Xenopus tropicalis: one gene and its partner. The protein of the gene in region 1 purifies or fractionates together with the protein of each later gene. This does not show direct contact. Links are inferred from orthologs where the notes say so. Each region holds a gene or a part of one and is shown on either strand. Other genes may lie near its edges.

Evidence for each region. Proteins that work in one complex are often made in the same cells at the same time.
Region 2: the proteins of nipsnap2 (region 1) and hadha purify together in Homo sapiens (affinity purification with mass spectrometry; 3 studies listed by BioGRID and IntAct, with this or other methods). This does not show direct contact. The link is inferred for Xenopus tropicalis from reciprocal best matches to the Homo sapiens genes NIPSNAP2 and HADHA.

Annotation. Positions count from the first base shown.
Region 1 is NC_030678.2:98,148,827-98,152,344, reverse strand, and holds part of nipsnap2 (protein NipSnap homolog 2), read left to right. Parts: intron 1-2,173; coding exon 2,174-2,313; intron 2,314-3,518. UniProt on the Homo sapiens protein: Protein involved in mitophagy by facilitating recruitment of the autophagy machinery required for clearance of damaged mitochondria.
Region 2 is NC_030681.2:154,386,883-154,390,252, reverse strand, and holds part of hadha (trifunctional enzyme subunit alpha, mitochondrial), read left to right. Parts: intron 1-324; coding exon 325-443; intron 444-624; coding exon 625-681; intron 682-825; coding exon 826-935; intron 936-1,089; coding exon 1,090-1,224; intron 1,225-1,379; coding exon 1,380-1,551; intron 1,552-2,412; coding exon 2,413-2,499; intron 2,500-2,672; coding exon 2,673-2,813; intron 2,814-3,006; coding exon 3,007-3,075; intron 3,076-3,370. UniProt on the Homo sapiens protein: Mitochondrial trifunctional enzyme catalyzes the last three of the four reactions of the mitochondrial beta-oxidation pathway.

The sequences.
Region 1 (3,518 bases):
GTCACTTTAAACTACAGCTTGAAAGTGCCCTAAATACAGGGTCGAACTGGGCCGTTGGGACACCGGGAAAAAACCTGGTGGGCCCCGATGGCCCAGACCCGACCCGACCCTTGCTGGCACTTCCCCTGCCCGACTGTTCCTCCCCTGACACGTTAAATGTATGCACGCTCAGGGTGGACGTGGGGTGGGGGCCCCTGGGGGGGTTAAAATGAGGTCTGTTACAAGTTAAAAAAATAAAAAGGAAAGACCTGCTTAGTTGCTGTTGGCAAATCCAGTTGTGCAAAATAGCATCTAAGCTAGTAAACAAGACTTTTAATATTTCCCCAGATTTGTGTTATAGGTCACTTTAAACTACAGCTTGAAAGTGCCCTAAATACAGGGTCGAACTGGGCTGCTGGGACACCTGGAAAAAACCTGGTGGGCCCCGGTGGCCCAGACCCGACCCTTGCTGGCACTTCCCCTGCCCGACTGTTCCTCCCCTGACACGTTAAATGTATGCACGCTCAGGGTGGACGTGGGGTGGGGACCCCTGGGGGGGGTTAAGGGACACGGCCGGCGGGGGCACCTGGAGGGCCCCTGGGGCAGGGGCCCCGGTGGGCCCTGCACCCTCCAGTCCGACCCTGCCCAAATAGCATAATTAAACCACAGAAATATAAAGTTTAATAGTAAAGAAAATTAGGGTCAAGGTAATGCCACCCATAACTTTTTCAGGTGCTTTCACTGCAGCCCATAAATTTGGTGTTAAATTGAGAAAACAATGCAACTGCATGACAAGCATTTGTTCAGGATGAACAAATATGGGGGTAGAAGTACAGCAATTTTACTATCATGTTCAGATGTTAAAAAGATAACAGGTTCTCCATCACTATATACTACAGCAGTGACAATATTGTGCTACATAGACATCCTTACTGGGGAATGAAGAAACATTTAGCTTGGGCAGTATGCCAAGGCCTTGCGAGTAGAATAGTCGTGTAGGCCTATAGCCTAATAGTGGGTTTATAGAGATTACTTCTATAATGATTAGAAGTTATAAGCCAGCCTTGCCTGCTGCCAGAAGGTTTTGCAATAGGAAAAAACATCCCATTGTATTTAAGGTAAAAACTGTTATGTGCAATTGTGAAGCAGTAAGAAGGTAATGCTAAGAACAAGCAAAAAAGAAGAAATGAGCGTGCTTCTCATATAAATAGAAGTCAAACTGACCTAGTCTTACTTTTGGTTATGAGAAATCATAAGATACGATGTCTGATAGCTAAAAGCACAAAAGAAAAAGAAAAACAGTGATCGGGTAGTATAGTGGCAACCATGGAATTCAAAATGCCTGGTAGTCCATACAATTTTTAAGAGAACATTGCCTCAGACAGCATTTTACCAGGGGTGGCAAATAGCCACATTTCTGTGTTTTTCTGGGTTATTGTGTCTCAGTTATATAACAATGTATTATCTCTAAAGTGCTCCATCCTGTACTCCAGCAATAATCCATGAAAACAAGACTTATGGTGCAACAAACTCTATACAAGTTGTAAATCATGTGGAGTGAAAATATATTGAAAAACATTACACTGTGCTCAAGATTGTTTACTGCAGGCAAAGGGAGCTTATATAATAATTTAGTCCTTTTATGGCTTTCTTTTACTAAGGTTGCAGACATCACTGAAGAGAATGGTAGATTCTTCTATGCTGTTTTTCTGTCGCTCTGGTTAGAATAGTCTCTGGCACACAGTTTGAAGGACATTCTGCATGTGCCGGTCACCTGTTACTACAGACACATTCCCTAGAGCTATTTAAAGATGCAGTTAAATTCGCCTTCAGTCCATTTTTCATAAGGGAAATGTCACCCCATAAAGGGTAATAAATTACAAATTACAGGAATCTCCCTCAGACTCTATTTTAAACAAATAATTACATTTTTTTTTTAAATTCCCTTTTCTCTGTAATAATACAACAGTACCTTGTACTTTATCCCTACTAAGCAAGAATTGAGAATGTTGAAGATTGTAAAGCATTTATGTTTATATAGTTATAGTGTGGGGAGATAGACTTAGGCCAGGTGTATTATATTGTATATAGTAATATAAACTCAACGTGCTGCAAGAGCTGTATAACTTGGTCCTTTTGCCATGTCCATTTTAAATCTTGCTTCCCAGCTCTTACTGATATATTGTTATTACAGGGGTCTTGCATCATCGAGTCAGAAAGCCAGAGAAGACAGCTGGTTGCGATCACTCTTTGTTCGTAAAGTCGATCCACGGAAGGATGCTCACTCAAACCTTCTGGCCAAAAAGGAGATCAGTAACCTGTACAAAATTCAGTGTAATTATTACCACTTCTCAGTTACTAGAGCATACATGAAGAGAAGAAAATACTTTCATACAGAAAACCTCTAAGCTGGTATTCCTAAATGTTTTTTGTGATCTACTAAACAGAGGGCAGTTCTAGTGTAGCCTTTCAGACTTTCAGTGGGATGTTTAACCATTTTGGTTAACATCTTTTTTCCTGCAATTACATAGTTATTTTATGATTAATAGAACACCCTCTTCTCATGCAGTGTATTTGGAGTATGGATAATCCCATAAGAGGCAGATATATATATTGATCTATATATTTTGATCTATATAGTTCTGGTACAGGTGCAGTGCACTTCCCTTTCAGTTGAAGGAAACTTGCTCTCAGAAAGTCCCCAAACACTACCCATGGAACCAGAGCTATAAGACTGGACTGAAGTGTGAGATGTTGGTAGAAATGTTAGTGAAGGATTTGGTGATTATTGTTTTATGTATTATGGCTTATATATACTGCAGACTCCAGTCTACCTTCAGTAGCAGTATTCTTCACTGGCATCCAGGCCACACTACAGTTAGGATGAAGGACCAAAGTCTTTAATGTGAACAGACCTTTACAAATTAGGAAAATAAGATATTTACATAGCATCTTGGTTTTATGCGGCAAATTATTTACAATCTTTATATTGCCTGAAAGAAGCTTTTATATTGTATATTGATCAAGCCACTTTCTAGTTAATATTTTCATGTATGGCATGAATGGTCTTTCCTTCTTCTTGTTAATTATTAGCAAAACTTCACTATCCTCATATAATTTTGTGTGCTTTATGCATTGATTTATGACAAATATTTGTTTTAAATTATGATATGACTCACTAATGTAACAGCACTACTGCCATATTTTCCATAATGGTACACATGGAGTTTGCACATATTTATCACCTCATTAATGAAAAACCCAGAGAACAAAAGGCCAGGAAGTCTGAAGTAGTTAGCATCAGTAAGGGTTATGTTAGCAACATTGATATTAAAGGAAGACCCACAGAGAATGACTGCAAGGAATCAGAGTGCAGTCAAGCACCTTTTTGTTTGATGTGTGGCCAGCAGTAGACATCAGGAAACAGCAAATCCTAAATAGCAAGTAAGCGTCATGTTCAACATTATGTGATGTATGTGTGATTTAATCTTTCAATATGGCTATGGCCTCACTTCTGGGTTGATTTTGACCTTTTAGTC
Region 2 (3,370 bases), on another chromosome or scaffold:
GCCCACCTTTAGGCATAGTCTGCCCTGGGCCAGTAATCCTTCGCAAACACACAGCAGTTAGATTTGACTGATATAGCACAGCGTCAGGAATACACAAGCAGGCTACGGTCATGTTACTATATAACGCCTTTAGTTCCCAACTACTAAAGTTTACTTTCTGCTTTATATCCTGTGATATGGACACCTTTACTCCAGCTCTTATCGTGGGCTGTATGGGGGTAGAATGGGAAGTACTACTTGTCCTTCAGCCAGAACCCATCCAGTACGCTTAGTGCGCCAAACACGGCTCTAATGGTGCAAAAATGTTTTTCTCTTTTGTTTCAGAGGTCACAGACTATGTCATGTCCGTGCCGTTTGTCCGGCAACAAATCTACAAAACAGTGGAGAAAAAAGTGAATAAACAGACAAAGGGTCTTTACCCTGCCCCCTTGAAGATTATTGAGGTATTGTACACATTGACTGTTCATGAGTTAGTTGAGTTATTCTGCAGGTGTATATAAAATACAGCATTCCTAGCCATGTTCTCCCAAAGTTCTTCCCAAGACTTTTGCGTTTGCTTTCAGTCAATCCACTTTTTCTGTTGCTCACGTTTCCATTGTCTTTTCCATTTTCTTTTTCTCCCAGGTGGTAAGGACTGGGCTGGACCAGGGACAGGAGGCTGGCTATCTGGCCGAGGCACAGGTATGTAGGAAGCAGCCGTGTGTCGGCAGCCACTACCTCACATGCATCCAGCTAATATATTCTGTTTCCGTCATTTCCGATAGTTTGGAATCTGAATTAGAATTTCCTTTGTTTCACATAAACATTCTCTTGTCAATCCTGCAGAAATTCGGGGAGCTGGGAACGACCCCAGAGTCCAAAGCACTAATCGGGCTGTACCACGGACAGGTTATTTGTAAGAAGAATAAGTTTGGCACTCCAGAAAGACCAGTACAGTAAGTGCTGACGATAACGGCCCTTGGCACGATTAGATGTGTATTTAGTATAAAAGGGGGTCATTCAAAAGAGTTTTTGGACCTATACTGGCTAATGTCATGGCTGAGACACCTCTATTGTAATGTAATGTTTTATGTCTTGCAATCTCCTCAGGAAATTGGCTATACTTGGGGCTGGCCTTATGGGAGCTGGCATTGCTCAGGTCTCTGTGGATAAAGGGTTAAAGACCATTCTGAAGGACACGACAGTGGAAGGCTTAGGAAGAGGGCAACAACAAGTCTACAAAGGGTAAGTGTTATATGTTTAATTGTATGTTGGAATTACTATCCAATAGTAATTCCAAGACCTGGGGGTATCTGTGAAGAACTAGCAGGCGTCATGATAAAATTGATTGGTTTGATGATTATGCTTTTAAAATAAAAATACCCCATTATTTGCCGCAGGCTTAATGACAAGGTGAAGAAGAAGAGTCTGACTTCGTTTGAGAGAGACAGCATTGTCAGCAACCTGACGGGGCAGCTGGATTATAAGGGTTTCGAGACAGCCGACATGGTGATCGAGGCCGTGTTTGAGGATATCCGCATTAAACACAAAGTTCTACAGGAGGTGGAAGCTGTGAGTATCGGTAGTTTCATAGGGGTCTGTACACATTGCTGTGTGTAATAGGGCTGTTCTGCCCCCAATAAGGGGTAATTATATCTTAGTTGGGATCAAGTACAGGTACTGTTTTATTATTACAGAGAAAAGGGAATCATTTAACCATTAAATAAACCCAATAGGGCTGTTCTGCCCCCAATAAGGGGTAATTATATCTTAGTTGGGATCAAGTACAGGTACTGTTTTATTATTACAGAGAAAAGGGAATCATTTAACCATTAAATAAACCCAATAGGGCTGTTCTGCCCCCAATAAGGGGTAATTATATCTTAGTTGGGATCAAGTACAGGTACTGTTTTATTATTACAGAGAAAAGGGAATCATTTAACCATTAAATAAACCCAATAGGGCTGTTCTGCCCCCAATAAGGGGTAATTATATCTTAGTTGGGATCAAGTACAGGTACTGTTTTATTATTACAGAGAAAAGGGAATCATTTAACCATTAAATAAACCCAATAGGGCTGTTCTGCCCCCAATAAGGGGTAATTAATTGGGATCAAGTACAGGTACTGTACGTGCTGAGCAATCAGATCCTGTGCAGCCTCTGCCATAACTTGTTAGATAGAGGCCTTTCTCATGTATGTATGGGGTGTGCTAGCTGGCAGCACTTTCATTCGAGAGCAGGCAGCTTCTGTGGGGTTGCACAATGGGAACGCCCAGTGCTTGGCTGGATGCCCCGTGCCCAGAGGATCAGTAGGCTGGATATTTCTACTGTGTGTGTGACAAGTTATAGTCTGAGCCTAGTGTGATTATGCAATATATGTATATATCTAATCTCCCCCTAGATCTGTAAAACCATGTCTCTTGCTTTCCGCAGGTTGTCCCCCCACACTGTATATTTGCCAGCAACACGTCGGCCCTCCCCATCTCTCAGATAGCAGCCGCCAGCAAAAGGCCAGAAAAAGTGAGTACAAGGCGGATATCCAATCATTTCATTACTGGGGTTTCTGCTTCTGTGACAGCGGCAAAGCCTTTACCCTTTAGGTGCTGGTTTAATGATGAAGATTTGATCCGCAGAGAGAGCAGAGTGTGTAACCACAGAGCTGTGCCCAGACCTTATATATTATATCTGTGTAGGTGATCGGGATGCACTATTTCTCCCCTGTGGATAAGATGCAGCTGCTGGAAATAATCACTACTGACAAAACCTCTAAGGACACCACCGCTGCCGCTGTCGCTGTCGGCCTCAAGCAGGGCAAGGTGATCATTGTGGTAAAGGTAAGTACACGAGTCCCGGGATTGGTCGGTGCTGGGTTTGTCATGGGAACCATAGGGAGCCCCTCTGTGCCCGTGGTTACCTGGATTTGTTTAATTTTATTTTCCTATATGGATCTAACTAAGCTGTTTATTGGGTATTTTTGCTTCGAGAAAGACGTAAGGATTATGGTTAATTTTTTTTATGGCTTAATAGGACGGGCCAGGATTCTACACTACCCGCTGCCTTGGTCCCATGATGGCTGAAGTTGTCCGTGTCCTGCAGGTAATGGAACAAGGAAATATCATTTTGCTTTTAATTACAGGTTAATTATACAAGCAGAAGTTAAAGGGGTGGTTATGTTATAGAATGCCCATTTCTAAGCAACTTTTCAATTGGTCCTCATTTTTATTTTTCATAGTTTTTAATTATTTGCCTTTTTCTTCTAACTCAAATGGGGGTCACTGACCCCGGCAAACAAAACTATTGCTCTGTGAGGCTCCAGTTTTATTGTCATTGTTACTTTATATTGCTTATTGTTCTGTTCAGTCCCTCTCCTATTCATATATCAGTCTTTCAT